Linked DNA regions of Xenopus tropicalis. The protein of the gene in region 3 interacts with the protein of the main gene of each other region in a pairwise test. Links are inferred from orthologs where the notes say so. Each region holds a gene or a part of one and is shown on either strand. Other genes may lie near its edges.

What was found.
Region 1: the proteins of agtrap (region 3) and ptpn9 interact in binary tests that used the Homo sapiens proteins (3 or more experiments, as listed by UniProt). The two-hybrid records come from large-scale screens. The link is inferred for Xenopus tropicalis from reciprocal best matches to the Homo sapiens genes AGTRAP and PTPN9.
Region 2: the proteins of agtrap (region 3) and c12orf10 interact in binary tests that used the Homo sapiens proteins (3 or more experiments, as listed by UniProt). The two-hybrid records come from large-scale screens. The link is inferred for Xenopus tropicalis from reciprocal best matches to the Homo sapiens genes AGTRAP and MYG1.
Region 4: the proteins of agtrap (region 3) and hscb interact in binary tests that used the Homo sapiens proteins (3 or more experiments, as listed by UniProt). The two-hybrid records come from large-scale screens. The link is inferred for Xenopus tropicalis from reciprocal best matches to the Homo sapiens genes AGTRAP and HSCB.
Region 5: the proteins of agtrap (region 3) and rmdn2 interact in binary tests that used the Homo sapiens proteins (3 or more experiments, as listed by UniProt). The two-hybrid records come from large-scale screens. The link is inferred for Xenopus tropicalis from reciprocal best matches to the Homo sapiens genes AGTRAP and RMDN2.
Region 6: the proteins of agtrap (region 3) and coq8a interact in binary tests that used the Homo sapiens proteins (3 or more experiments, as listed by UniProt). The two-hybrid records come from large-scale screens. The link is inferred for Xenopus tropicalis from reciprocal best matches to the Homo sapiens genes AGTRAP and COQ8A.
Region 7: the proteins of agtrap (region 3) and acsf2 interact in binary tests that used the Homo sapiens proteins (3 or more experiments, as listed by UniProt). The two-hybrid records come from large-scale screens. The link is inferred for Xenopus tropicalis from reciprocal best matches to the Homo sapiens genes AGTRAP and ACSF2.

What each region holds. Positions count from the first base shown.
Region 1 is NC_030679.2:93,340,073-93,345,093, forward strand, and holds the start of ptpn9 (tyrosine-protein phosphatase non-receptor type 9), read left to right. Parts: upstream 1-1,907; 5' UTR 1,908-1,949; coding exon 1,950-1,982; intron 1,983-2,424; coding exon 2,425-2,568; intron 2,569-3,777; coding exon 3,778-3,867; intron 3,868-4,623; coding exon 4,624-4,760; intron 4,761-5,021. UniProt on the Homo sapiens protein: Protein-tyrosine phosphatase that could participate in the transfer of hydrophobic ligands or in functions of the Golgi apparatus.
Region 2 is NC_030678.2:147,124,991-147,128,498, forward strand, and holds the end of c12orf10 (UPF0160 protein MYG1, mitochondrial), read right to left. Parts: intron 3,166-3,508; coding exon 3,043-3,165; intron 2,935-3,042; coding exon 2,753-2,934; intron 1,268-2,752; coding exon 1,108-1,267; 3' UTR 1,010-1,107; downstream 1-1,009. UniProt on the Homo sapiens protein: 3'-5' RNA exonuclease which cleaves in situ on specific transcripts in both nucleus and mitochondrion. Involved in regulating spatially segregated organellar RNA processing, acts as a coordinator of nucleo-mitochondrial crosstalk.
Region 3 is NC_030683.2:65,695,615-65,699,983, reverse strand, and holds the end of agtrap (type-1 angiotensin II receptor-associated protein-like), read right to left. Parts: intron 2,242-4,369; coding exon 2,141-2,241; 3' UTR 1,010-2,140; downstream 1-1,009. UniProt on the Homo sapiens protein: Appears to be a negative regulator of type-1 angiotensin II receptor-mediated signaling by regulating receptor internalization as well as mechanism of receptor desensitization such as phosphorylation.
Region 4 is NC_030677.2:150,459,765-150,464,724, reverse strand, and holds the start of hscb (iron-sulfur cluster co-chaperone protein HscB, mitochondrial), read right to left. Parts: upstream 3,053-4,960; 5' UTR 2,899-3,052; coding exon 2,561-2,898; intron 1-2,560.
Region 5 is NC_030681.2:42,152,408-42,156,916, forward strand, and holds part of rmdn2 (regulator of microtubule dynamics protein 2), read right to left. Parts: intron 3,798-4,509; coding exon 3,599-3,797; intron 2,990-3,598; coding exon 2,887-2,989; intron 1,400-2,886; coding exon 1,339-1,399; intron 1-1,338.
Region 6 is NC_030681.2:7,741,413-7,746,641, forward strand, and holds the start of coq8a (atypical kinase COQ8A, mitochondrial), read right to left. Parts: upstream 3,461-5,229; 5' UTR 3,317-3,460; exon of another isoform or gene 3,313-3,316; intron 1-3,312. UniProt on the Homo sapiens protein: Atypical kinase involved in the biosynthesis of coenzyme Q, also named ubiquinone, an essential lipid-soluble electron transporter for aerobic cellular respiration.
Region 7 is NC_030686.2:43,840,553-43,844,176, forward strand, and holds the end of acsf2 (medium-chain acyl-CoA ligase ACSF2, mitochondrial), read right to left. Parts: intron 3,615-3,624; coding exon 3,473-3,614; intron 3,378-3,472; coding exon 3,267-3,377; intron 1,680-3,266; coding exon 1,611-1,679; intron 1,481-1,610; coding exon 1,430-1,480; 3' UTR 921-1,429; downstream 1-920. UniProt on the Homo sapiens protein: Acyl-CoA synthases catalyze the initial reaction in fatty acid metabolism, by forming a thioester with CoA. Has some preference toward medium-chain substrates. Plays a role in adipocyte differentiation.

The DNA.
Region 1 (5,021 bases), on a different chromosome or scaffold from region 3:
AGCCTGCCATTAGACACTTTTAGCAGAGCTGAGTGAGGTTCCCCACTTTTTTCAATCATCACATGTGCAAACTGTCCTGTGTTATCTGATGGGAAGTGGGTGGGGCTTAGATCCAGCGCCCAGGACAGCATCTGACCTAAATACAGCCTTGTGTCCAAATACACATACAAAACACTTACAAAAAGATATCTAAGTTTTCTTGTACTCAAAGGGGAGATGCTTGTAGAAATGTGAATTAAGAATGGCTAGTTATAAATCTTGTTCTGTAACTCACCTTTGTTAAAATCATAAATAAACATCTTTTTAAAAAAAGAATACAAAGAAATAGCACTCCAGGTCCATAACGAGGCTGGTGCAAGTCCTGCTTCCAGGAATGTTGCCCAGCTGCCAAAGTACCCCTGTCACAAGATCACAAGAATAAGAAGACATTTTCAATGCATTCAAAATTGGACCTTCTTGGGTACCCTGTGGAGAAAGCTTTGCAACAAAGTATTCACTCTACTATGAAGTTGATGAAAATCCTGCCATAGGCAACTCTTCATCTTTTTTTTAAAAAAAAAAGAGGCTATCTTTTTCTTTTCAGCAGCTCAGTGATTCTTTGTGCATAAAATAACTATGGATGCTTCCTTTAGAATATATTTAATTACAATGCATTTAATCAGATATAAACTCTGACTGAAAAACACATTTAAAAATTTAGCACAGGGATCCTCAACCTACGGCTCGCGGGCCAGATCCAGCCCCAAGTTAATTTACCCGGCCCCTGCTGCCTTTCTCACCCCTGGCTACTACCTGTCTGCAGAAGCAGTGGGGAGCAGGGAGCAGGAGGGCACAGCAGGGAGTCAGATGGCGCAGTGGGGGAGCAGGAAGCTGGAGGGCACAGCGGGGAGCCAGAGGGCACAGCGGGGGAGCAGGGAGCTGGAGGGCACAGCAGGGAGTCAGATGGCGCAGTGGGGGAGCAGGAAGCTGGAGGGCACAGCGGGGAGCCAGAGAGCACAGCGGGGGAGCAGGGAGCTGGAGGGCACAGCAGGGAGTCGGATGGCGCAGTGGGGAGTGGGGGAGCAGGGAGCCGGAGGGCGCAGTGGGGGGAGCAGGGAGCTGGAGGACGCAGCGGGAAGTGGGTGAACAGGGAGCTGGAGGATGCAGCAGGGAACTGGGAGCCGGAGGATGCAGTGGGGAGCAGGAAGCCAGAGGACACAGCGGGGAGCAGAGGAGCAGGGAGCTGGAGGACGCAGCGGGAAGTGGGTGAACAGGGAGCTGGAGGATGCAGCGGGGAACTGGGAGCCGGAGGACGCAGTGGGGAGCAGGAAGCCAGAGGACACAGCGGGGAGCAGAGGAGCAGGGAGCTGGAGGATGCAGCAGGGAGTGGGCCATAGTTTGAGGACGCAGGAGGCGTAGTTTGAGGACTACAGTCCGGCCCCCCCCAACAGTCTGAGGGACCATGAACTGGCCCCATGTTAAAAAAATTTGAGGACCCCTGATTTAGCACATGGACAAATTAACCATATGGGAAAGAGAGAAACTGCTTGAGCAAGGCAAAGCTAATAACTGCAGAGCATGGCCTCTTGCTAATATAGAGATCATCTATAAGACTTTCCATTTGGTGTCACTTTAAACCATGTTGTAATAATTATGCAAGCCACTAGAGGGTGCCTGTTACTCTCTTTTACAGCCTTACAGACTGCTTCTTTTCCTTTTACTGTCTGTGTTTTCACGTCTGTTTCCTTCTTCCCCACCCCACAGATATATTATCCCCTAAATGAGGCCCCAAACAATTTAGGATTTTTTTTTTTTTTTTTAAAGATCTGTTATACCCTGCCTGGCGTGACTTCCTCTTTGCTGAATCCGGGTACAGCAGACAAAAAAAGACGATTCACTAAAACATAGGCCTTGCAGGATCCTCTGTCTGGAGCAAGGCCTGGGAATTGTGGAAAAGGAAGGAAGCAAGCATGGCAGGGACTCTGACACAGGAGGAGGAGCAGGTAAAGCAGTCCCTGTGTGCGGGTGATTAGTCCTGCATATAGTGAGATGAAGAGCGACTTCTAGTCTTGTTTATTGTCACAATTATTCTGTATATGTAGTGCCATGAAATCAGGCATAAGACATAAGTGTTTATGTGAGTGTATATATGTATATATATATATATATAAATATATACACGTGTGTGTGTGTGTATACATACACGCATCTGGTCTTTTTTGTAGTATAAATATGAGTGTGTATGTGTGCACATATAAATTATAGAGCAACATTTCAGATAAACTGTTAATTTTTTCCCTCCTTAAAAATGTTTGCATTCCCCCTGTTTGCTTTTTTCATTATCTCCCTTTTAAGATCCCCTTTTCCTTCACTACCCTGTTCCCATAGGCCGATTTCTGTTTTACTTGTGTCTATTAATACCCATATGTCTCTGATTCCTCTTAGGCTACTAACAGGTTCCTGCAGGAGATGAATTTGTGGACAAGCTGCCACTCCGTGTCGCCTCTCTCATGGGACATCGCTGTTAAATTTCTGATGGCGAGAAAGTTTGATGTTGTGCGAGCAGTTGAACTCTTCCACTCATACAGAGTGAGATATGTGTGCAGATTAGCATTTCACAGTAACTGCCATCTTTCTATGTCCTTCATTCAAGCTTTTCCCTGTCTTCCAGTGGAGCAGCTCTCAGGCCCAGATTTGTGGCAAGGCCACAAAGGCCGGGGCCAGCTCTTTGCATGTAATGGGCCAGTTTGTAACACTGCCTGTTTAAGGGCCAGGTTATATTAAAATGATGATGTCATACTATTGAGGTCTTGGGGGCTCTTTAGAGGGCTATTAAAATCCGCAGGGCTTGTGGTAACCTTATGTTTTGCTTATTGTTTTTATCAGAATATATGTATTATATTCATAGTAATCAGGGCAAAATCTGCAAGCACAATTAAAACAAATTAGTGGTCCACTGAGAAACCTTTGTACAATAGGTATTTTCTTATCTTAGGGTCTAACAATGGCTTCATCTAGGGAAAGAGATGTAATATTTGCTTGTTTTGGAATACAACTCCCAACATCCTGCTGATAAATAAAAGGAGTAAGAGGGTACTAGAAGCTGTAGCTCAAGAGCACTTAGGACCCCCGTTTATAAGACAGTAACCCAAACACATCTAGATCTGAACTCCACAAGAGACTTAATTGCAGATTAAATCCTAGAAATGGGATGTAGCTGCACTTGCCCAACAATAATGTAGCTAAACAGACTGGTAAAGTGCTTGAATATTTTGGCATTTGACACAACTGAACTGACACACCTGCCTGCATTTTTATCTGACAAGATTAAGTTATTTCTCATTGATATACATTGATTGTTGGCTGTAGCTGCATAAAAAAAAGAAAGCATCTTATTGTATCTGATGAGATAACAGTACAGCAAACTGGATGAGATTCTGCAGCGTCCCACAAAATCTTGTGTTTGTGCACCCCTTAGCATTCTGCATTGCAATCCTGCCCATTGTACCTGTCTGTCATTATATAACTTCAAAATATCTGTTTAGAAAGCATATAGAAACGTAGAAGCATATAATTTAATTCTAGAAAAGAACCAGCTGATCCAGCTAGGCCAGCCAGCTATTTTTTCCCACAAATGTTTGAGTGGGCGGTACCCACAGCACCTACTATATATCAACATTACTATATATTTATCAACATTATATAATTATTATCTGTTATTATAAGTTCCTGGTCTCCTGTCTGTATCACCTTTATTTTCTGTCACTGTATAACATAAATGTTATGTTTGTGTTCCAGGAAACCCGACACAGAGAAGGGATAGTGCGGCTGAATCCTTTACAAGAGCCATTACTTTCTGAGTTGCTGAGTGGCAAGTTTACTGTGCTGGTGAGAGGTTAGGTGTCAGAAGGTTGTTCTATTTAATGCTTATAAAGTAATAACCAGTTGTTTGCATGTATATATTTATTTATATAGTGCTGCTTATGTACACAGCACTGTACAGCAGAACAATAAATTCATGGAACAAACAGAAATTAACTACAGAATACAGTTACATTAATGATTAGGAGCCAAGTATCAAAGAGACAGGAGGAAGAAGTTCCATAGAGCTTACAGTCTAAGGGATGACAAAAATACATGGACAAAGAACCTTTCACTGTAAAAAGCTAAGGATAATAGAACACACCAAGGAGTTTCTCAACTACCTAAAGGCAACTTATTCTATGCTCAGATGTTACAACTGGGGGTACTTTATTTCTTATAATACAGATGATTAACTGAGTCATGTGACACAACTTCGCTAAACACCACTTTTAATTGATGACATAACTAAGCACCATTTATTATTATATAATTTACAAGATGTTCAAGTTTCTTGTGTATTTTAATAACAAATAATCCTAGGCACAGGATGAGTGGAAGTGATATATGTAAGTGTCATATATATTTTACAGATGAACTCACATAAATGGCAGTCTTATAATTGTAGCAGGAAGCAGTGCTTCATTCCATCAAATTGAATCTATTGACAGCATACTGAACTAATCATTGGGAGGGCAGGGGTCATGGATTAAAGTCCTGGAATAATGAGCTTTAGGGATAGGTCAAAGTGCATGTGACTGGTCATCCACTGTTTTGTTCCAGAGTGTCAGAGCCCCAACTGGAGCCTCCATTGCAATCTTCACCGCTAAACTACACCATCCAGCCCGCAGAAACAGCAGGCAAGCACAACACACTGTACTTCAAGCTCTCTTTTATCTACTGGACAGAGCTGTGGAGAGGTGAGAGCCTAGAAACCTGAATGTGGTGTTTTGGGGTAGGTGTGTGTGCAGTGTCAGTACTGGAGCAGGAGGGAACTGGTAGATGAAGGGGAAAGTACATATTTCACAGACATTTAACCTGCAGCATATTGCTTCTTTGCACTCTTTACACTGATACTGGGATCCCAGGGCATATGTTTAATTTGCTACAACCTCAACCCCAATAGGGGGGCTTGTTTAAAGGAAGACTAGGAATAAAATATGGTACCAAAATACTATACA
Region 2 (3,508 bases), on a different chromosome or scaffold from region 3:
CTATAGAATAACCCACTATTTCACTGTGTCTAAAATGCACTTGCCAGAGAGCTGGATTAAGACGGGTGTTAGAACTATAAATTATATCTAGGACCAGAGAACCCTCAGAGAAAGGTTCAATATACCACATAATCAATGGCTAAAGTTTACAGGGTATGAGACACACTCATGGAAACATTTTGGGTACAAGGAAAAAAATGAATATGGCTAGAATTTCTGTATTTTATATACAGAGTCTACTTTACCAGTCTACAGGTTCTAAAGGTTACAACATAATGATCCAGACTTTTTAAACAGTGCTCAGGAGCTCCCCATCTTGAATTTTGTTAGGAGAGTCAGTGACACTGCACATGCTCAGTGTGCGGAGCAGCTCCTGAGAAGCTGAGCTTAGGGGTCATTGCAAATTGTCAAGCAGAAAATGATGCTGGCCTGTAATATAAGCTTATGCAGAGTACACTGGTTTCTGGGCTGACATAATTTTCTGATAAGCCATATATTGTGACATTTATATTCTATATATACTGTAAATTGAGTGGGTTCCTAAGCTCGGGTAAGTAACAGCAGCACAGCGTATGTGTAGGGAATCAGCGGAAAAGATGGGGGGGGCATCTTGGGGGCACAGATCTTCCCTGCTAAAGGGCGGTAGTTGCCTTGAACTGGCAGAGAAGCCCAAAACATAAATGTTCAGCATAACTACTTCTTTCTTAAGCTTTAGTTCTCCTTTAATGAAGTCCCAGTGCTCAAAGTAATTGTGGCAAATACGGATCAATTCTCTACCTGTAGGTTAGGCAATGGGTGATTATGTGATTATGAAGTACAATGTGGTTTGAATGACACTATTGGTGTTATTTGTTGAAACTTTCACTGTGTATAGAATTTTTATAATAACCTATTGTAGAATATTTCCGCATGTCTATATCGCTGCATAATTCTGATGTAACCTGTAAGTTTCAGTAGCAAAAGCAAAAAAAAAAAAAAACACCAATAAATACAACTTATTAGATACTGATTGACAAAAACTTGTATACAAAAATATTTACTGATGTCACAATATAAATACAAGGAGATGTTGTTGCTGTGTTTTGTCCTATTTTTAGAGGAAGCGCCCTAGGATCTCAGTGCTTTTCGTGCCATTTCTAGTGCTCCTACTTGGGTCTCATTTCCACCAATAAATCCACTGGCATGAACAAAGATGCAGCCTGGTATCCCGCTAACAGAAGAGAGATCATCTGCGCGAAGTCCGCGCCAATCCTCGGGGAGAGACAGACTGTGGGGTTAAGAAGATCAGTAATTAAAGGGAAACTATACCTCTATAAAATATAATGCATATAACAGCTCATATGTAAAACACTGCTTCAAACTAAATAAATCATTTAAATCCACTTTTCTAGTAGCATGTGCAGTTGAACAATCCTAAATAGAAAATTGCCATTTTAAGTACTAAAGGCTGTTTTGTGGGATCATAGGATTCAGGGTGCACACAAACAAACCAAGGGCACACATACATGTTAGGTCTCATCAGCCAGTGAATGGACAAAGTTCTGTCTTTTACTCCCACACTTCTCCCTGTTACAGTTAGAGCTGCATTATTTCCCTCCAGATGTGCGGTGGGCATTAGTACAACCATGATAGTATGTTAAAATAAGTTTCCATTTTGCTGCTATGCTTATTTTATGTGTTTAGCCAAATACTTTCTGTATCCAAAGAAACTAAGTACGGAGCAACATCCACACTGCCGTTTAAAAAATCATTTCTTTATTCCATCTCCTTAAAAACATGTTGTGCTTATACAGAAAAAGACCATACGCTTGACGCGTTTCGTGGTGTCTCACCACTTTTTCAAAAGCTGCATGGTACATCCATTCAGAAAATACCCTTTATAGGTAAACAAAACTCCTCCCACACATCTTGTTAACCCTTATAGTGCATATATCATTATTAAAAACAATGCTACCCAGTAAAAAACACTGGAGCTTATTATTTAAAGCTTATTAACATCCATCAGCCACAGGCAGTTAAAGAGATACAACAAATATGTAAATGTACATATATACACTACCCCTATATATGTGTGCACATATCTATATATACCCATATACAAATAACCATCAGTCAATAGAAACAGGTTAATTCCCACTCTCTATTCATACCTCCCAATGACTCTATAGTACCCAACTGATAAATCCAAAATGCTTCTCTACGTAACAATCTATTCTCAAAATCACCTCTCTTTATATTAAAACCACCTGAATCTATAATCTGAAAATGAAAATCCATGTTCCCTCCATGTTTATCAAGGGAATGTTTAGCTATAGCCGATTTGATATCCCCTCTACCTAGTACATATACTGGGAAAATATATGTTATTAAACAATATTTTAATTGTACCTCACAAAAGGTGATATATTTGATTACATGTAAATGTGGTGCTCAATATGTAGGTAAAACAGTCAGGAAAGCGTGTGAACGTATTTTGGAACATCTATCGGCCATAGGTAGAGGGGATATCAAATAGTTTCTTTGGATACAGATTATTTTGCCGTCTGGGTGCCGGCTGTGCGTTTGAACACACACTGCTGGATCTGTAAGTGCTCCCGTGAGTTTTAAAAAATAGCCAAATACTTTCTACCACACTGTCTCAACGTAACGTGATGTTGCATTTTAGTTATAAAACAGGCAGGACAGTATATTTTATAATTATTTTTAAGATCCCTATTAACATGTGAACAAGAAGTGTGCTGAATACTGTTACCGGTTCAGGAAAGTGTTTGGGCCTGTAGGGACACATTGCACCCTCCACTTTGCGCTCTGGTCAGGATACAGTACATATTTCACTTGCTTTTCCAGACCAAGCTCTTTCTCTAGTTGGAAGAGGTGTTCCTTCCATGGGCAGCCACCCTGTGCCAGGACAATCACCTCACCACTCTCATCCACCTGTGCCAAAAATAAACAATTTCATCCCAAAATGCCAATTTCTCATTCAGATGTGACATGTGTTATCCATGAGACGAATGAAATGAAACCAAAATGGGAGTCACATACCTGAATTCTTTTCCTGATCGCCTCCTCCACTAAAGCCCGAGCTGGTAGCCAAGAGCGATGATAGAAATCCAAGCGTGACACAAACTCTGATCCGGCCAATTCCATTGCTTTTTTAAAACCAGCCTGTGGGAAGGAAGGGTAGCAAGGAGAAAGTATTTAGGAGCCCCACCAATCATGCAGACTGTTCCAAACAAGCAGATAAATCAATTCGTACAGCAGTTTAAAATAAAGGTACAGCAGTTTAGGATCTTCTGCATTGCCACTGGGCAAAATAAACTGGGGCAGGACAAAAAAAAAAAATTCCACCTCAATGATAACCTCATGGAAACATGAACACAATCCCATTCTTTTACCCTACCTTTTCAAGCCTATTTACAATACCCAGTAACTGAGCCTTTAGAAAGTGCACATTCTTAGGGCCGTGGCAGACAGGGTGATTAGTCGCCCGAGACAAATATCCCTTGTT
Region 3 (4,369 bases):
TGAAAAAGACTGAATCTTGGCAAAATCCCAAACCGAATCCTGGATTTGCTGCATCCCTACTTGGGACCTGGGATTTTTCTGTAATTTAGATCTCTATACTTTTAGTCTGCTAAAAATCATTAAAACATTAAATAAACCCATACTGATTGTTTTCCACCAATAAGGATTCATGCATTTTCCTTAAGATTAAGTACAAGGTACTGTTTCATTATTACAGAGAAAAAGAATTTTTAAAACTATTTGCTTATAATGGACTTTATGTAAGATAGGTTTCCTGTAATTTTTGGCTTTCTGGATAATGGGATCCCATACCTGTGTGATACAAATTACTCAAAGACCTTATCTGTAAAAGTTCAGGCCCCATTTCAGCTTATAAATACTATACCTGTATTACACTGAAGGTGTTTAAGTGCTGAAGATCACTAAACAGAGGATAACCAATGTAAAGAAATTGCTTAACATTTGCAGAATTCTACAAACATGTAAGATAAACTAACCTTAATAAATATTTAAAAAGCTCAGGATTCTATAGCATAACCCTACTCTATGCTTCTTGTTCTCACCCTTTTTCTTTTAGAAAACTCATTTTCCTAAATCAGGGGTGTCAAACTCAATTACATAAGGGGGCCGACATTTAAAACACAGGCTAAGTCGAGGGCCAAATTTTTTATTAATATACTTAGTAAGATACTAAGGGGTATATTTATCACAATGTGTAAAAAGCGGAGTAAGACATTACCGGTGATGTTGCTCATAGCAGCCAATAGATGCTTTGCTACTGTTGAAATCTGATTACTGATACCCCTTAGTCTTAGTTACTATGTGAGGAAAATGGAACTTGATCAGGCTGGATGGTCAGACACACTCACCAAGGGCCACATAAAACAGCCAGGTGGGCTGGATTTGGCCCCCGGGCCTTGTGTTTGACATATATGTCCTAAATCATGTGTCCTGAAGCCGAAACATTGAATTAAACTTCAATAGCCAGCACTCGTCGGATAAAAATTCGTCGGATAAAATTTCAAAAAAGCTTTATTAAAGATAAAAACCTAACATGTTTTGTGTGACTGCAAATGTATTCATAGGAAACATTGAATTAAACACCATTTTTTTGCTTCACACAAGTCCTGTGAGTGCGGTTTGTTTGTGCTTACTATTTATGTTATGTTAACCATGCACCCAGGCAGTACCTGGAGTACTCTGTGTGCACCATACTTCCAGGACTTTTAATATATATAATTTTTTTTTTTTTTCAGGGACACTGCTGGGCGTATTTGCAGAGACACAGTAAGGAAAGAAGGACAGCCAAAATTTTGGAGCAGCTCATCAAGGGAGGAGCAATAGCATTCATTCATAGCGTAGGTTCTTCAGGAACACTTTTTACCTTTAATTAAATAACCTAATATCTACCTTGATGGCTTTCATCAGAATGTTCTAGGAATCCAGATATGTGAACAGTGTATCGTTGCATTTAGTTCTACTGTACAGTAGAAGCTGACCTATAATCATTCGCTACTCCCACAATGTGCAAAATGCAAACACATCAGATGATGCTAGTATAGTAAGATGGCATAGCATATGGCCTTTTTTAAAATATTTTATTCTTAACATTTCTTTAAATACCCTAAAAGGCAAATATATTACAGAAATATTTCTATACTAATATTTTAGCAGTGTTAGTACATGTATTTATCCTGTTCACAGTTTATACAATTTAAAGATTTGCAAGTATGCAAACTATTTTTTTAAAGTTTATGTTCCTTACTGAACCAAAAATAATCTTATAAAACAAAACCTAAATTTGTATTGATTGTCACAGTATATTCTGGAAGTTAAAGTGAAAGATGGGGACAAATTAATCCCAATGCTGGAACTGGTTTAACTATCTCCTTCCTTTTAGCAAAGAAAATATATAGACCTCATTTTTAACACAAGCGCTATTGAACATTTGTTGATAATGAATAACTTGTTGTATCCTCTTATAAGTCTCAAATCTGAATGGTCCTCAGCACATATTTTTACTAGTTCTGGGCGAGAACACAAGGGCATGTACAGCCCAGGTATCAGATCTTGCTTTTCTGCTTTAGGCATTCTTCCTTTTAGTCCCAGTTATTTAATCTGATCACGTCATATTATATTTTCAATATGTGCGTGATGGCAATTTGTTATCTTGGTCAGCTGGAGGATCCATATGCTCGATGGACTGGTAGGAGCTGCGATCTCTGGAAAGAGTAATGAATCCTATGGAGAAAGATTTACAAATGTATTTTATACCAAATACTGTTACTTTAAAAAAAGATTTTAATTTAAAGTCTTAAAGAGGTTTACCAGATCATTGGGTTTAATACTAAAAACTTACTAAGTGACACCCCGACAGAGATTACAATCTGTGGCTCTGGCCTTTTAAAAGCTTATCAGCAGCTCTAAAGGGCAAACAATAGGCACTGTTTTTTGGGCAATGGGCATCAGTTTCTTTTGGAAATGATCTGGTCCATTTTATTCCACAGGAGTGAAGAAGTTTCATATATAGGTCACCACTTACTTTTAAAAGATTTGCAAATGAGTAGTTTGATGTAGAAAATTATAGTATACAGGTATGGAATCACATACAGTGCCCTCCATAATGTTTGGAACAAAGACACATTTTTCTTTGATTTACCCCTCTGCTCCTTAATTTTAAACCAAACAATTCAGACATGATTAAAGTGCACATTCCAGACATTAAAGTTATTTGCATACATTTCAGTTTCACCATGGCAGAAATTACAACACTTTTTATACATAGTCCCCCTCATTTCAGGGCACCATAACGTTTGGAGCAAAGTAAAGGTAGGTATATTAAAGTAGTCTTATTTACTACTTTGTTGCATATCCCTTGCATTCAATGACTGAAGTCTGTGATTCATAGACACCACCAGGTGTGGAGTATCTTCTCTGGTGATGCTCTGCCAAGCCTTTACTGCAGCCACCATCAACTCTTGCTTGTTCCAGAGGCTTGTCCCTTTAAGTTTCCTCTTCAGCATATGGAAGGCATGCTCAACTGGATTTAAATCAGGTGAATGGCTTGGCCATTCAAACATTTTCCATTTCTTAGTTCTGAGAAACTGCCTAAGTATTATGTCTGGGATCATAATTTTGTTGCAGGATAAAGCACCGTCAAATGAGTTTGGAAGCATTTACTGTAACCTGAGCAGATAAGATGTTTCTATACACCTCTGAATTCATTGTGCAACCGTCATCAGCAGTTACATCATCAATGAAGCTAAGTGTGCCAGTACCTGTGGCAGCCATACATGCCAAAGCCAAAACACCCCCAACACCATGTTTAACAGATAAGTTGATATGCTTTGGATCTTGGACAGTTTCTTTTCGTTTCCACATTTACCTTTTGCCATTACTCTTATCTTGGTTTCGTCTGTCCATAACACCTTTTTTCAGAATTCTGCAGGCTCTTTTAAGCACCTTTTTGCTAACTGAAATCTGGCCATCCTGCTTTTGTGAAAATGAGGACTATATACATATAAAAAGTGTTGTAATTTCTACATGGTAAAAATGAAATGTATGCAAATAACTTTAATATAATGTCTGGAATATGCACTTTAATCATTTCTAAATTTAAAATTAAGGAGCAGAGGGGTAAATCAAAGAAAAATATGTCTTTGTCCCAAACTTTATGGCACTGTATCTGCAAACCTGGTATCCAGAAAACTCTAAATGACAGATAGGCCATATTTCATTGAATCTATTTTAAGTAAATAATAATTTTAAGTTATTTAATTTTTCTCTTTTAAATTTTCTCTGTACAAAACAGTTCTTTAATTTGATTATATCTAAACTTCTTTGCATTCTGGTCTGGCCACATGCACAGTAGAATAAAGGCTGAACTCAGACGCATGCGCCAGCCTGGGGTATCAGGTAAGTGATTATAATCACTGGGGGTGCCAAATGTTAGGCACCACACCACTGATTTAACCTTTATTTCTCCTTTAAATGTTTTTAGAAGCCTTAAGGCATTATTCATTGTGCTAGTCAAGAACAATCACAGAAAGCAGGCAGGCACCATTATGTGAACACTGTCATTAAGACAAGCTTTGCGTTATCTTAAAGTCTTGTTTATGTGCCACAATTGTGTACCTGATGCCCGTGCCCATGTTGGAAGTCAACAATTAAGTTAATTGAGGTGTCAAACAAAGGATGAGTTGGAACTGTCAGCAGCTAAAGTAACCCACAAGTAAGGGAGAGAGAAGTCTTCTGTTGCACACAAACTGTACATGCAGCAGAAAACTGTGATATCCTGGGCAAGAGAAGGCCACCAAAAGTACCTAGAAATAAGTTTACCTGTCTTCTTAACATCAGGATGGCCAGCCAT
Region 4 (4,960 bases), on a different chromosome or scaffold from region 3:
AAAAACGAATCCTCTGCTAGCTCACAGTTTTATTATTATTGTTATTTTTTTTTTCCTTAACTTTCTATTCAAGCCCTCTCCTTCCCATTTCTGTTTCTCATTTAATCCACTGCCTGGTTGTTAAGGTAAACAAGCCACTAGCAACCAGTAACTTAAAACCAGTTGCAAATTGTCTCAAAATATCAATGTTTATGTCATACTAAAAGTTAATGTTAAGGTGGACAGCTCCTTTAAACATAATCAATGGCAATCAACGACTGTCACAAGAGCAGGATTATCAGATGAAAGGTCATCTACATGTACATCTATATCTGGTGTCCCTTGATGAAAAATAAAGCAACAGTCCAGGGAGTTTCTACAGCAGTGCTGGAATCTTACATACTGGTACCTCCCAGTGAAGAAAGGGTTTCCACTCATGACACAGAGTCTGTGCCTAGAAAGTAGCAGTAGTTTGGGAGCTGTGGCTTCCTCGCATCAACAGACTAAAGGTGGCCATACACTGGCTGATTGTAGCTGCCGATATCGGTCCCTTAGACCGATTCGGCAGCTTATCGGCCCGTGTAGGGGCAGCAACGACGGGCATGCCTGACCAATTTCTGCCCTGAATTTGGCCAGATATCAATCGGGCAGGTTAAAAGATTTAGTCCGATTGGGGATCACATTGACTCGTTGATGCAGTCCCCGAACCGACTTTGCCTATACCCGTCGTTATAATTCAGTAGTTTGGGCCCAGGGTTAAATGACCGAATTAGCCTAAATTTGCCCAATATCCCCCAGCCGTAGGCGGGGAAATCGGGAGAAGACCCGGATCTTAACATGTATGGCCACCTTTAGTATTCAAACTTGTCTAACAGATGAATCAGCTGATACACAAAGCACATAGATATTGGTTGAATCCACTGGGTCCCCACACACATACAAATAGTTGTCCAAAACTTAATTTTATTCCACTTCTCAGAGATTCTTTATGCAAGTTATAGTACATAAAAGGTTCAATGGTGCCCTGAAAAATGCCCACTTAATAAACATCCCTGATGCTAATTTAAGATTTTTTTCGTGCTTTAGAGTTACTGGGTCTTTCAAACGAAACCGAGAAATCCCACCCACTAACTGCTTTGACTGTAAATGTGGCCATACACATGTAGATTTTTAAAAGATGTGTTTATACGACCAAGCTTATTGTGAATTGTTTAAAATTATGATTTGTCCATCGACAAGAACAACCATTTCAAGTGATATTGTCTAATTGAAGTCCAAACCTGAAGAGGATGTGATGTATTTGCTTTTGTATACACTGTTTTCAAGCTGTATTTGGTCCTGCAAACAATTTTGTAACATACTATGGACATTATGGTGATTTATTGAAATGAACACTCATATCAAAGAATGAATGGTCGGTACATGTGCAGTCAAAATCTGTCCATCCCATTATTGGACAAATTTCATCATTTAAAGGGACCTGTCACCCAGACATAAAAAAGGTGTATAATAAAAGCCCTTTGCAAATTTAACATGAAAGCCAAATTCTTTTTTTATTAAACCATCCATTTCTGTTCCAAGGGTATTTAAAAGTCTCAGCTGTCAATCATAATTTGCTGGCCACGCCTCCATTCCTCAGGCATAGAGGCAGGGCATTCAAACTACTTTCACTTTCCAATCTGCACTTCCTAAGTGTCACTGCACTCCTCACACTTCCCCTCCCTCCTCAAGGTCTATAATTGTGTAGCAAGTGCATGGGAATGGGCCTTGGTCTCCTATTATGGCACATACACAAGGTTTAGGGGTGATTCAAATGTTGCCTTAAGGTGGCCATACACGATAAGATCCGCTCGCTTGGCAAGGTCACCAAGCAAGAGGATCTTCTCCCGATATCCCCACCTATGGGTGGGCGATATTGGGCTAATTCGATCTTATTCAAAATTAGAATGACGGGTATAGGCGCAGTCAGTTCGAGGACCGCATCAACAAGCCGATGCGGTCCCTGAACTAAATTTTTAAACCTGCCCGATCGATATCTGGACAATTTCAGTCCAGATGTCGGTTGAGCATGCCTGCCGGTAGTGCCCATACACGGGCCGATAAGCTGCTAAGTCGGTCTAAGGGACCGATATCATCAGCTAGAATCAAGCCACGTATGGCCACCTTTAATTACAGTGCCCAAAAAAAATGGGAGCGTGCCTGATGGCTGTGATTGTGAATTCCAAAATTGAAGTAAACAAGATTTAAATAATTTATACAGTGTAACTAAAGTTAATTTTGCTCAACTAATATGACTTTGGAATTATATCATAAGGTGATAGGCCCCCCCTTTAAAGACGAAAAATTTTCTGTCATAAGTACAGTCAGTGAATTTAATCGCCAGGCATGGGTTCACAGTGAAATTCTGCATCAAAACTGGCAAGGCCAAGCAAGTTGCACAGTAAAAGCATATATTTGATAAAGCTATATACTATACAAGTTTTCAGGATTGGAACATGAACAACCTTTTAGGAAAGGGAATCTATTGTTTCCCAGTATGTGTGCCTACTTTATATGACATGCATGAGGAATATGGGCTCACCAATCCAGAACCTGGAAAAAGTCCTTGCTCTCATCAGGTGGCTGCAGAGAAGTACATGTGGGGCAGAACAACTCAGCCCTGCTCATTTCAGCCTGACATCTCCAGCACAGGCGGCTCTGGGAAGTCACACAGAAACTTCTTAAAGAGTAAGTGCAGCTTGAACGCAGGGTACTACGGGACATTGCACTTGTTGCACTTTTTATACATGGTAATCGGGGCGGCCAAGAGAAAGCCCAGAAGCCCCGGCTCACTGGCGGCTTCCGGCTCCACCAATGCTGAACCACCATTCGCATCCACTGACTGGCATAGCACTTTAATACAGCCCTGGTAGGCTCCATTGCTAAAGCAGGGGAATGAGCAGTAAGAGCCGGAAATGGTAATGCATCAAGGACAAGCTACTTCCACCTCCCAAGTCCGTCATTGCCCAGCGTGCAACCTAACTCTCAGCATTGACCGTGCCGCGGCTCTCCTGCGTCTCCTATTGGCGCTTTCGCTTCCTGGAATGGAACCAGTTCCCAGTCCACGTGATTGCGCTTCCTACTGTGATTGGCTGTCGCCTTTAACTGTACATGGCGGCAAAAGGAAAAACTGCACCTTTTCCCGGTTTCGTTATCTTGGAATTGAGGTGAGGGGCCTGATGGTTATGGTTTCTAAAGAGTGTGGGTTTAGGATCAATGTCTGTACTGTCAAGTGTTATTATCGCTAATATGTGCGCTTCAGGTAGAGGAGGGGCGCCATAGGTGCTGCCAGTCTGGAGATGGTCAGAGCTGTTCCACTGCTGGAGAAAGGCAGGCAGTCACCTGGAGCTAAACATAAGCTTTCCAGGTTTGTGATCAGTTTCTCACAGGCAAGCATTATAAATATTAGTATTCATCAAAAGAGTCTACCGAGAGTATAAAAACTACGGAAGAGCAGTAGGGCCACCAAAAAAAATAATTATAATTATGACTTTAAAAAGTCGAAATTATGACTTTTAATCTCATAATTATGACTTTAAAAAGTCGAAATTATGACTTTTAATCTCATAATTATGACTTTAAAAAGTCATAATTCACCGGAATTTTTTTTTTTTTTTGGTGGCCCTACTGCTCTTCCGTAAAAAACAAAGGGGCAGTAGGCTAGAGCATTTTATACCGGAGAATTCTGATTTTTCTTCTAAACAATCACAAATGCAGACGAATCAAATCGTTTGTATGTATGGATTATGGGGCCAATTTATTAAAATTCCAATTTGTGTTTTTTTTTTTAATTTTTACGATTCTAGAAAAAACGCAGCGAGAAAACGTGAATGAAGATACATTAGAGATTATTCTTAAAAAGTTGGAAGAAAAACTTTCAATAAAAGTCAAAGATAATTGTTTCTAACAACTTTATTTTTCCCAGTTATTTAAACTTTTGGGTTTTTTAGCTTTAAAATGGAAGGAACAATGTGATTCTCGCCAGATAAGTTGCACAAGTTTAGTTATGGTTATTTTTTTCACATCCACTTTTTTCCCCCCCCAGAAACTCAAATTTTGATAAATCTGCCCCTAAATATAATGCACTGTAAAGCTGGCCATATACACATAGATATTGTTATATACTGAATGAACTTTGATTCACTGTGACCTTTCCTTTGGAGTGCCAGTTGATTTTAGTGTGGTGGTCTGTTTTCCTTAGGTTTGTTTTTGGTGCCAAGCCCCAAAATGTCAGCTAAGGGAAGCATCCATCACATGACAGTGTCTGTCAAGATTGATAAAAACACACAAACAGACTTTCAAAGAACACCTTTTTTGTACATGGATGGCCACTTTTAAGGCCGTAACACACTGCGAGATTGTCTCCATTTGGCGCCAGTGACTAATCTCCCCGCAATGCCATCCCACCGGCTAGAATGGGGCATTTCAGAAGTTTCCTCTCAAGGCTACAGCGGTCCCGCATGTGCCATCCCATCAGTGATTTACATTCTAGCTGGTGGGATGGCATTAGTTGCGACGCGACTAATCTCCCCATGTACCCCTGCCCTTACCCTGTGTGCCTTTAAAACACTAATATGGTGTATATAAATAACTTGTAGCTGCGGGGCAGCCATCCAGTAGGAATGGGGCTATAGGGTCCACATATAACTCTTCAGATCAATAGGATAAAAACCTCATATAAAATATGATGTTTGTCAAAAAGAAATAGTTTCATATAGGTTCTGGGTAAATAGATACAAATATTAAATGCAAAAAAAAAAAAAAAAAAAAATTTTTTCACTTTGTGGTGTGTCTGGTTATTTAACATAGGCTTTGAAGCCAGAAAAGGGACCCTGTGCTGTTTAAAATTGGTTTTGTTTTCATGACCCCCTTTAATATAGAAAAAAATCTTCTTGCTACTGTAAATAGTCATTTACCAGTGGCATTATTATCTCTAAAGAAA
Region 5 (4,509 bases), on a different chromosome or scaffold from region 3:
CCCAGGTCCTAAGTATTCTGGATAACAGGTCCCATACCTGTATTATCAACATGTATTTATAAAATGCCAACATATTCCGCAATGTTGTATAACAAATGGGTACATGGTATACATTAAACATACAAAACAACCAATGACCAATATAAGCAGTAAAGCGGGCCCGCTCCAAAGAGCTGACATTTCAATGAACTAACACTATAAATACCATGGAAAAGTAAACTTAATAAAAATACAGAAAGTGAAACTTTTGCTCTGTATAATTCAATCTTGTATTGTATTGACAGACTAGGTATGACAATTCAATGAAACAATACTGCAAGCACCCTGGAAATGAAAGGTGGATAAAAATACAAAACGGGAAACTTTTATTCTGTATAGTGCAATGTCTTATGTGTCTCAAGTGTCTCATTTACCATCTCAAGTCCATCTCCGCAGCACTGGGTCACCAAAAATTGCTCTGTGATTATGCACTTTTTGCATGGTTACAACAAGTATGTATTTCCTACCTTTACATTAAAAACCTGACTAATAATATGTAGAATATTTTTCTATATTAAGAAGAAAAAGAATGATAAAAAAGCTTATATATAAAAAGCTTATTTACCTAAACCTTAAAAGGTCCCTTTGATCATGCTTAGCATTTATTTGCTAATAATTATATGTTTTCCCACACACTTTGTTTAACAATGCAGCAATGCATAAATATGTCATAAAGAAACAGATTAAAACAAACATACAGTTTACTGGAGGCTTTTGTACCAGCATGTTTAAAAGACATGTATAGAAACTCAGGAGATTTATTTTTGCATTACTGACTTCCAACCTACCACTCATGTATATCCTGACATTCCACAGTAAGAGGGAATAAACAAGATCGATTATTGCAATTTCTTTATATTCCTGTAAAACTCAACCCAAGCGCCCACCGCCATACAGGCCTGTTTCTGCTATGAGTCAAAGTAAGAACCTTGCTTCAGGTTGCACTTTAGGCTGAAAAAAATCACCCCACGTAATTTTAGGACTCTGGCACACGGGGAGATTAGTCGCCCGCGACAAATCACCCTGTTTACGGGCGAATAATCTACCCGAAATGCCATCCCACTGGCGAAAATGTAAATCGCCGGTGGTATGGCGATTTCAGTGAAAGTTTCCTCTCAAGCCAACTTCTGCACAAATGTTTTTTTTTCCCCTTGAGCACCAGCTATTTAAGGTAGAAAAACCACACACTTGATTTTTGACAAAATTTACCCATTGGTGTTCATAGAGCCAACTGTATTATTGCAGTGTATTCTGAACAAAAACAATGAATACACTGATGTATTTCACTGGTACACTTACCACCTATGGCTCTCTGCACTACAGTCTTCTAACTGAATGGCTTTACCAGCAATACTTTTACCTACAACATAAAAAAATAATAATGTAATTGTTGAGAAAGAAATACAGACTAAAAACTGACAGAAAACAGATGCATGCATGCATACCATGTAAATACAGAATACACTCAGGGGCATTTCTGGGGCTGCTGCCACCCCCCCCCCCCCCACACACAACCACTCCATACCACTTTGGCATTGGAGCGGGTCAAATAGGGGCCGTACTTTTCGAGACAAATTTTTTAACTGTCAGCTCACTGGCAAGGTTCTCACCTTCAGGAAACAGCCATGAACACACTCCATGGACTCCACAGCACATTACTTCATGGATTTCTATATACATATTCTTGGATATAGTGAGCAGCACCATAGCATTTGCCTAATTTTATTGCAATTATCCAAGTATAAATAGAAGAAGGTTCACCTTAGCCAGGTCTGGGTTTGTGGGAAGGCCACAAAGTGCTGCCTGCTTTCTGCAATAATAGGGAACTGCAACAGGGGGATTGTTCAAGATTTCAATCTCCTGTCCCAGTGCAGCTCCTGTTTTCTTCTGTAGAATGACTTATGGGGTGGGCACAGCCCCTATCAGTACTTTCTCTCACGCACGTATACACCTAGGGAGGGGGTGGCAGGCTGGGTATGTGATTGCTAGCCTAGGTGCACATACCATTGAAATCCAGCCCTACCATTAGTCCTGTTTCCAGGAACAGGCCTGCTTTAAAACCCTGGTGCCCTATCCGGGTAAACAGACACCCCCTTCCCCCAATGACTTTGGGGTAAGAAGTCTCCACTTGCTGCATTTTGTAGGAATTAGGGAAGATATGATATATCATTTCTAACATTTTCAGCCCAGGTACAATATGAGGATGAGGATGTTACCATATAAGGGCCAGGTGGGAAATTGAGAGAAATTTACCTATACTGGGGAAATATGCACACAGCAAACTTAATGTTGTAATATAAGAGAGGCTGTAACCTTTAGTGGGCGTGGTTTAAATAGGGAGTGGTAAAAAAGTGCATGAGCTATACATTTTTTTTTGTGCAGCATGCGACACGCCCACTCTTCCCAAGAAACCATTGAGAAGGAATGTACAGCAGATGTATGTATGTTTTTATTTATATAGTGCTACTTATGTACTCAGTGCTATACTGTATCTTATAATGTATAATGAAGCAATGATAAACAGATTGTATTTTTGCCAATTTGCCTAATAAATTTTTCTTTAAAAAAAAAAAAAAAAAATCATTGCATGTATTGCAGAAGCATTAGCTTGGTGCTATCTTTTACCTATATTATTTGTTAATCCTTCATTAGTCCAAATCCAATAAAAATATCATATACTGTCTGTATACTGGGCTCAATTATATTCTGTAATGGAGTACACGTGTAAAATAAATCCATATATTGTTGGGCAAAGTTTTACTGTTTGTAAGATTCAGTGCTTTAATTTGTGCTTTATGTGTAGCTTGTTCATACTCTGGTCTTGATTGTTTCTAATACAACTCTTACCATTAGCTGCATAGTTTTTTTTTTCTTCAACATCGGATGTCATATCAAACATATCTCCATATGCCCGTGCCAGTCTCCACAGAAATTCCACTTTGTTTCCATACTAAAAAGAAAAAGAATTCATTACATTTTATTTACACAGCTGCATTAATCTGGTTCATTTATTTATGCTGGGTGAAATCTACCTCAGTACAGTTACCAATAGAAACCAAATTTTTTTCATTATTCTACCCATAGCAGACTGATTAAAGCTAATTGATGATTGGTTATTATGGGTATCTGCATTGAGATGAATTTTCCAGTGTTACAAAATGAGTCCCATGTAAAAAATGTAAGTTATATAATAGTCACAACTTTATCCTATCTGTACCTTTAGTTCACATTTTATTTTTCAATTGTTAATAATGTTCACTCAACTTTTGCAAAGCAACAGAAAAATAAAGATTTTTGAAAAGGTTTTTGTTATAGTCATAATAAGGAAGTGTAGTGTTAAAGGAACATTTAGGATGCAGGGCTCCCACAGGAGAATCATGGAAAGGTTCATGTTAGGGATTCACTGAATCCACTATTTTGGGATTCGGCCAAAACCCAAATCCTTTGTGAAAGCTTTGGGCGAATACCGAAGCGAATCATATAGGTATCATTTCATTATGGGCAAAACTTTAGACATTTATTAAAAAGTAACTGTTATGAAAAAAAAACAAAAAACAACCTTTTCTTTATTATCAAGCATCATTCGAAATGTGTCTTGTTTATCTGGTTCGGAACCACAGTGCCCAGTATCTGCCTGGTAAAGAACAGAAAGTAGCTCTGCTTTCTCTTCTGTAACCTTAGCATTTTCTGCATTCAGATGTTTCAGCCCTCGTTCCTCATCTGATTCTAGCTCAGTGTCAGTGTGAGCTGTTATGTACCTAAAATGCAAAATAAACTGTTAAACTCAAAAGTATAATGGACTCTTATGAGCAAAAAGGATGCATTGTTAATATTTGTAAAAACTGTTTAACAATTTGATAAATCTTACTCTTAATAATTCACTTTAATTTCCAAATTGCTTACCTTAATGGTCAGCAGCAAGGTTAAATTACTTATATTTGGGTTCACTCAGACTGCAGGTTAAATTTAACTACTTATACTCACTATACACACATACATGAAATATAAATATAATTTATAATGAACATTTCTAGAGGCCTGGAAAGATTACAACTATAGACTAGAAAGGGAAGTTTGAGAACAAACTTCGTGTTGGGTTGAACAACGTGAAGTCACTGAATGAAATCTGATCTGTTGTTAGCTCCGCCCACTTTTTCTAACCTTGGACCACAATTATATAGTAAAAACCACTGTGCAAAGTTTGGGGCCCCTGGTTTTAATAGTGTCTGAATAGCAGCAATTTAAATTTCCCCACTGAAAGTCAACGAGTGACATCTGATTGGGGACCCTGACATTAAACATGTGAGAATGGCAGCAGTTAAAATGTTCAACACTGAAAACAACGAAAGAAATGTGATTGGCTTATGGAGGCCCTGCCTACTTTTTCTAACCTTGAGTGCGTAGTCACCCCCTGACTCGTTGTGCAAAGTTTGGGAACCCTGGCATCAAACCAATACAATTTAATAGGTG
Region 6 (5,229 bases), on a different chromosome or scaffold from region 3:
AGGATCTGTGCCACTGTGACAGAATGCTCTGTTATACAGATAGCTAGAATCTCAGCCATAAAGCAGGGAGGACTGCTGCTTAAACTCCCCTAGATAAATATGAAATTGACAGACCGTATAAGAAACTAGTACATGGTTTCCAACCATAAATGCAAACTTCAGCTTTTAATGACAGTGCCATAAATTACTGACCGTGACCACAGTAAATAACGATAGCAGGTACTGTTTAATTAACGGGTGAATAAATCTTGTCACCAGCCAAGGCTTCCCCCCCCCCCCCCCCCCACTAGGCCTTTACATAGAGATAATGACATATATGCCCCAGATATCCAGCAGTGCTACCTAGAAAACCAGGTAACTACGAACGCCTCACCCTGGCACCTTGCTCAACAGCTTCTCCTTATAAACACCAACCGCACCCCTTCCCAGCAGGCACAGCGGCACTTTACCTGCAAGCAGCCTTCTGCCAATACGCACTAGTGACGCTTTGTTTTTAATCCGACTAGCCAGCAACCTGCTGCACAGGAGTCACATACATTAACAGGGATCTCTAGTTATTTGAAAAGAAAGTAAAGGACAAGTCAACACAGAACATAAGAAAAGAAAGCAAAATTCTAAGCAACTTTGCAATAGACATTCATCACAAATTCGTAATGGTTTTTGAGTTATTTGTATATATAATTGATATTAGAAGTAATGTTTGTCCTTTTCCCTCTTGAAACAGTGTAACACAAGGCAGCAGCCTGACAGACCTGACTCGCTGGGGGAGACTGACCCCTGAAACAGTGTAACACAAGGAGCAGCCTGACAGACCTGACTCGCTGGGGGAGACTGACCCCTGAAACAGTGTAACACAAGGCAGCAGCCTGACAGACCTGACTCACTGGGGGAGACCGACCCCTGAAACAGAGTAACACAAGGCAGCAGCCTGACAGACCTGACTCACTGGGGGAGACTGACCCCTGAAACAGAGTAACACAAGGCAGCAGCCTGACAGACCTGACTCACTGGGGGAGACCGACCCCTGAAACAGTGTAACACAAGGCAGCAGCCTGACAGACCTGACTCGCTGGAGGAGACCGACCCCTGAAACAATGTAACACAAGGCAGCAGCCTGACAGACCTGACTCGCTGGGGGAGACCGACCCCTGAAACAGTGTAACACAAGGCAGCAGCCTGACAGACCTGACTCGCTGGGGGAGACCGACCCCTGAAACAATGTAACACAAGGCAGCACCCTGACAGACCTGACTCGCTGGGGGAGACTGACCCCTGAAACAATGTAACACAAGGCAGCAGCCTGACAGACCTGACTCGCTGGGGGAGACTGACCCCTGAAACAGTGTAACACAAGGCAGCAGCCTGACAGACCTGACTCCCTGGGGGGAGACCGACCTTTGCAACAATGTATAAAAAGTAACAACCAGGAGTTCAGCAAATGCTGCTCTCGATAGCAATTACATTTACAGGTAACTATTAAAACACTGAAAAATAATAACTCCATATTAGAATAATGTTTCCTTTTATTAGGCAAAAACTTATTTGTGGGGTTAACATGTCCTTTAAATTGCAAGCAACTTTCAATATAAATTAACAATATTAGGTTTGAAACGTATTTGAAAATGCAGGGTAAACTAGCAGAGAGACTGAGAAAAGCAAGTTTAGAAAGGCTGAGGAACCAACCCCACGGCTTAATGTTTAAGCAAAACAAAAGGAATGCGCGGGGTTAAATATTGATTAATATTTGATTAAAGACTCTCACATGGGAGAAACATTTCAGCTGCTTTACTCAGCACCAATAGAGTATTTGTTTGCATGCACGGCTGTTTGTGACTACTGAGAATATATAGCAATAATGAAAGGGAAATATCCGACTCTGAAGGAGATTTGCACACGAGGAGCATTAGGTCCCGCTGGCCGCTGTGCTGCACACTCACACCCACTTACTCACAGCCAAGGGAACACAAGCGCCTTTCCATATGTTCAGCCTGGGCTGCACGCTGGGCACAGACATAACGACCAAGCGCAACAAATGCAGCCGCACACACTGTGACCCCTGACACTATCAGAGGGTGCAGCTGGCAATGCGCTTGGGTTATAGGGTCCCTCGCACTAATACCATATGGAACACGGGGGGGGGACAATAGATCGTTAGGCACAAGGCTTCATTGGCCTTTCTGTATTGCAATGGCCGACTGAGAGCCCCCAATAAACTGCCAGTTCATGTGCCCTTGATCAATAGCCACTCACTGGGCCCTGTTTCCCCAGTAGCAGCCCTGGACCCCCCCCCCCCCCTTAGCTTACCTACATTAGCTACTTACCCCCTAATTACTCAGAACTGATGCCTAAATCCGGGGGCTGGTCACTGCCATGGACCCAAGAGCTTACTGACCCGCTCTACTATCCCACACATACATATACACACACACACATATACACACACACACGCAGTTATTTGCCCCTGGGAGAAACGCGGCCCATCTCACATACAGCTTGCAATTAACCCCTGCTTTCCCTCACACATGCCCTAACTTGCCCCTTGCCTACTCACCCCATGCCTATTTCCCCGATTACTTGCCCCCCTCACATATGCCCCAGTTACTTGCCCCCCTCACATATGCCCCAGTTACTTGCCCCCCTCACATATGCCCCAGTTACTTGCCCCCCCCACATATGCCCCAGTTACTTGCCCCCCTCACATATGCCCCAGTTACTTGCCCCCCTCACATATGCCCCAGTTACTTGCCCCTACCTCCCCACAAACACCAATTCCTTGCCCCCTGCCTACTCACATCAACCCCAAATACTTACCAATCCTTCATCTCACAAATGCCCCTAATTACTTGCCCCCCCACACACATTCCTCCTGTTATTCCCCCCCACATATGCCCCAGTTACTTGCCCCCGCCAATTATTTGCCCCTACCTCCCCAATTCCTTGCCCCCTGCCTACTAACAGAGGAGCCTTGCTTCTCACACTTGCCCCCTGCTACCCCACACTTGCCCCCTGCTACCCCACACTTGCCCCCTGCTACCCCACATACACCCTATACCCCTAATGATGCGCCCCAAGTTCTCACACACCCCTTACAGTCCCATTCACATGTCCCTGTTTCCTCACATAGTCCCCAGTGACCTGCCCCTATATTGGGACGAGTTCCCCTTTAAGCTGGCGGCTTGATCTCCCCGTTAGCAGCCCAGAATATACGGGGTGCCAGACGGGACATTACAATGAGACAGCGGACAAACTTGCCCACACACAGCTGAGGCGCCTCAGGCCCGCCCCGCACAGCGCTACGGAGAGCCCCAGTACCTGCCTGGGCGCCGCTAGCCGTGCTGGAAGCCCCGGGGAGTCGGTGCCGCGGTTCCTCTCGCTGCTTCTCAGTCTCACACGCGGTCCGGACTGTTTACCAGCAGCGCGCACCCATCCTACCAGCGCACGCTGTCCCGCCCACACTCACGCCTTCCTCCGCCTCATTGGCTAATCAACTGAAAGCTGGCGTGTGATTTGTCCTTGCAGCTGTCAGTCAGTCGCGTTAGTCAAATGCAGAAGGGGAACAGAATGTGGGTGAGGCCAATCAGCCTTCAATAACACGAGGTACAGCCAATAGGAAGGCGCGTTGGGCGGGTCTCCCAGGTGCTGCGTTAGAAACATCAACATGTTGTGCAGTTTGGCCTGTCCGCTGGCCCCGCCCCGACTCTTTGCTGAGGTATAGCGTGTTATGTGCAGCTCCCTTGGTATTGCAAGGGGCCCACCTTAGCTTTGTTACTGGCGATAGAGTATATTATATACAGTGTCCATGGTATAGCAGGGGGCTCACGCCCACCTTAGCTTTGTTACAGGGATAGAGTATATTATATACAGTGTCCATGGTATAGCAAGGGGCCCACGCCCACTTTAGCTTTGTTACAGGGATATAGTATATTATATACAGTGTCCATGGTTTAGTATGGGGCCCACCTAAACTTTATTACTGGGGATAGAGTATATTATATACAGTGTCCATGGTATAGCAAGGGGCCCACGCCCACTTTAGCTTTGTTACAGGGATATAGTATATTATATACAGTGTCCATGGTTTAGTATGGGGCCCACCTAAACTTTATTACTGGGGATAGAGTATATTATATACAGTGTCCATGGTATAGTATGGGGCCCACGCCCACTTTAGCTTTGTTACAGGGATATAGTATATTATATACAGTGTCCATGGTTTAGTATGGGGCCCACGCCCACTTTAGCTTTGTTACAGGGATAAAGTATATTATATACAGTGTCCATGGTTTAGTATGGGGCCCACGCCCACTTTAGCTTTGTTACAGGGATAAAGTATATTATATACAGTGTCCATGGTATAGTATGGGGCCCACGCCCACTGTAGCTTTGTTACAGGGATATAGTATATTATATACAGTGTCCATGGTATAGTATGGGGCCCACGCCCACTGTAGCTTTGTTACAGGGATATAGTATATTATATACAGTGTCCATGGTATAGTATGGGGCCCACGCCCACTGTAGCTTTGTTACAGGGATATAGTATATTATATACAGTGTCCATGGTTTAGTATGGGGCCCACGCCCACTGTAGCTTTGTTACAGGGATATAGTATATTATATACAGTGTCCATGGTTTAGTATGGGGCCCACGCCCACTGTAGCTTTGTTACAGGGATATAGTATATTATATACAGTGTCCATGGTATAGTATGGGGCCCACGCCCACTTTAGCTTTGTTACAGGGATATAGTATATTATATACAGTGTCCATGGTATAGTATGGGGCCCACTCCCACTTTAGCTTTGTTACAGGGATATTGTATATTATATACAGTGTCCATGGTATAGTATGGGGCCCACTCCCACTTTAGCTTTGTTACAGGGATATAGTATATTATATACAGTGTCCATGGTATAGTATGGGGCCCACGCCCACTTTAGCTTTGTTACAGGGATATAGTATATTATATACAGTGTCCATGGTATAGTATGGGCCCACTCCCACTTTAGCTTTGTTACAGGGATATTGTATATTATATACAGTGTCCATGGTATAGTATGGGGCCCACGCCCACTTTAGCTTTGTTACGGGGATATAGTATATTATATACAGTGTCCATGGTATAGTATGGGGCCCACGCCCACTTTAGCTTTGTTACAGGGATATAGTATATTATATACAGTTTCCATGGTATAGTATGGGCCCACGCCCACTTTAGCTTTGTTACA
Region 7 (3,624 bases), on a different chromosome or scaffold from region 3:
AAATGTAAAAAGACATGGGGAGCAACACAAGCACCATAAAAGTTCATGGAGGAGCCAAATAAGGGCTGTGATTGGCTATTAGGGGCCTCTATGCACCCTATCAGCTTACAGGGGCTTTATTTGGTAGGAAATCTTGTTTTTATTCAACCAAAACTTGCCCCCAAGTCAGGAATTCAAAAATAACTCTCTGGTTTGGGGGCACTGAGAGCAACACCCAAGGGGTTGGGGAGCAACATGTTGTCCCTGAGCCACTGGTTGGGGATCACTGACATAGACAGTAATATTCTAAGACAGTTTTGGTTATTTAGCTTTTTGTTCAGCAACTATCTGGTTTCTAGGGTCTAATTTTGTCTAGCAACCAGGCAGTAGTTTGAAATAAAGATTGGAATACATTTAGGAGGGGGACTAAATAGGAAGTGATAAAAAATAACAGTAACAATAAAATTGTAGCCTCTCAGCTATAGTGTTTTTTTTTGCCTGCCGGGGGCAAGTGACCCCTATTCGAAAGCTAGAAAGAGATAATTGAAGGCCAACTGAAATTCATCTCACTTTCTACATTATACTAAAAGTTAACTCAAAGGTGAACAACCCCTTTAACATTAAAAAAAGGATCAATTGTTAATAGTAGGGATGCACCAAATCCACTATGTTGGGGTACGGCCGAACCCTGAATCCTTTGTGAAAGATTCTGCCAAATACCGAACTGAAGCTGAATCCCAACTGAAGGGTTAAATAGAAATGCATGCTTAAAAAGTTTTTTAATTCTGTGTTTTCATGTGACCAAAAGTCACGTGATTTTTAAGATTTGGATTTGGTTGGGACAGGCCAGATCTGAATCCTGCCGAACCCTGGATCCGGTGCATTCCTAGTTAATCGCACATTTTGATGTGTATAATAATAAATAATAAACACTCACCTTCAGCATTTCACATAAAAACATTTATTAAAAAATATAAAAGCAATAACGAAGCATGATCTCTACAGCGCAGAGTGACAGTATTGTGCCAGATTTAGGGAGGAGCTTGATGGAGCAGACCTCCCCTGAGGGGTGGGACAAACTGATGGATGGCAGCACAATGGAATATACATGGGTTTCCCCGGATGTATATCACAATGAATTAGGGACGTAACTCTTTATCTGGGACGGCAGAGATGAGGGCCCTTGGGTACATTCAGTTTTGTGTTTAGCTTATGCACAAAAGGTAAATGATGCACAAAATGACATACAAGGCTTACAAAATAATTCAAACAATGAAATTCCGTTTTGAAAAGATGCATCCAAAAGTTGCACGGCCACCTTTAGCCAAGAGACGTATAGGCAGGTTAAGGAGGATGAATACAGAGGCGCAGAGTGAGATGAGGTGAAGGTGCAAGGAGAAGCGTAAGCTTAGGAAGAACAAGGAGAGGCACTAAGAAAGTCATTACTGCATCACAGGTTTAGCTCTTTTTCCATTCTCTCTCTCAGTTTGTATTTCTGGATCTGGAAGAGACAAAGAACGAAAGCTGAAACCAACACAGTGTCCCCGGCAAAGTCCCCGTCCCATTCCCAATACCTGAAGCTTCTACCGCCTCGAGGCACATTCTACCCGTTTCGCCAAATTGAGCTTTACCTTTCCAGAAACGGTGAGCGGATACTCATTCACAAACACAATGTAACGTGGGATCTTAAAATGGGAAATCTGTCGGCAGAAAGAAAAAAGAGAAATCTCATCAGAAACACAGGGATAAACTGAGGTTATCTGGAACAGAAAGGGCCGGTTCACCTTTAGGTTACCTTTTAGCATGTTACAGAATGGCCTATTCTTAGTAACTTTTCAATTGGTCTTTATTTTTTACTTTTCCTAGTTTTTTAATTATTTGCCTTCTTCTTCTGCCTCTTTCCAGCTTTCAGATGGGGGTCACTGACCCTGGCAGCCAAATAACTATTGCTCTGTGATACTCCATTTTTATTGTTACTTTATGTTATTTATCTGTCTATGTGGGCCCTTCTCTATTCATATTCCCGTTCCGCTTACAAGCTGAAATTCCAATGTTGAAAGATGCAGAACAAAAGCTAAATAATTCATAAACTGCAAAAAATTAAGACCAATTGCAAGTTGTCTCACAATAGCACTCGCTACATCATACTTCAATTAAAAGCCTGAAGTCTAAGCAGAAGCTTTGTTGCTATTCATCCCATTCTCTTCATGTTTTCTACTCTCCCCCTACACATATTAATTCTTCCCATTACACTATTTTACCTCCCTTTGTCCTCCTCTGCTTTCCTTCTACTTTTAATACAATATTCTCAGTTCTCCCTTTTTTTCTTACCATGTTCCTTTTTTAATTTGTGTTACTAACTCATTCCTTTCTTGTTGTCCTTTCTGCTTCCCGCCTGTGGTACCTTGGCTCCAAAGAAGAAAATGGGAACTTCCCCTTTAAAAAAGTGCTTGAATTGGGGCAACGCTGGCTTACAACTGTGGAAGGGGCTATATGGGACATGCCAAAAACAAGTCCGACAATGATGTACTACACCCACTGTTATAATAAGCCTCACACACCAACACTACCTGGTTTTACCCACTTTAAAGCAAAGCCATTTTGCCTTATCCTTCTGCTGAATGGTTTGTTGGCCAGTAAGCATGGATTTACAAAAGTAGTACAAAAGTAGGAACCCTACGGGGGTGTAAGTACAGAGGGAGCAGACCCTGCAGTCACAGGGTGACAGAGGATGGTAGAGGGCCCAGCGAGGCCCTAATTAGTGAGCAGTTTCAATATATCTCAATATAAGTTATCAATATTTTGGGGTGCTAAACTGAAGGCCCAGTAACATCTAGTTACGCCACTGGACATCTAAAATGAAAATTGTGAGTATATGGCTTGGTTGGCAATTGAACTTCAGCAAAACAGCCCCCCTTATGTATAATGTGTGTAAACACAGTACAACCCCAGCATATTTTATATCCCCCCACAATATTTAATATATATCATCCTCTCGCCATTCCACATTTCCCTATTTTCTTCTTCTTTCCCGTTCTCTAAACCCCTCTCTAAACTCCCCTCTCTTCGTCTGTATAACACTTCTCTGTCCCTCCGCATTCCTCCCCAGTTCCAGCACTGCCCTTATAATAAAATGTTTACATCCACAAAGCCAGGGTTACTATGGCTATACATGCCAGAGGGCCAGCCAATGAGATATTAAACTACCAGTTTCCAAGCACAGACAACTCATGATTGGCCAAGTTGTTTGTACCTTCAGTGGTTCCGTATCCCATGGTGGTACCTACCTTTCCTTTACAATATTCCTTGATTTCGGCGGGAGTCGCAGTCTTGCCATCATAGAGGCGAATACAAGCGCAGACCTCCTCCCCCATTCGCTCATCCTTCACTCCAATTACCTGTGACGGGAAATTCAATGCAGTTTGTCGTTGTACAAGGAAAGTCCTTGGCCAATTCTTCCTACCAGTGACTCCATTCATTCCCTTCCCATTACCTGAGCCTCCAAAACACTGGGGTGCGTATGCAAGAAGTCTTCAATCTCGGCAGGGTAAATATTCTCGCCCCCTCGGATGATCATATCTTTGCAACGTCCAACAATGCGACAGTAACCGTATTCATCCATCGTGGCAACATCTCTGATGGAAT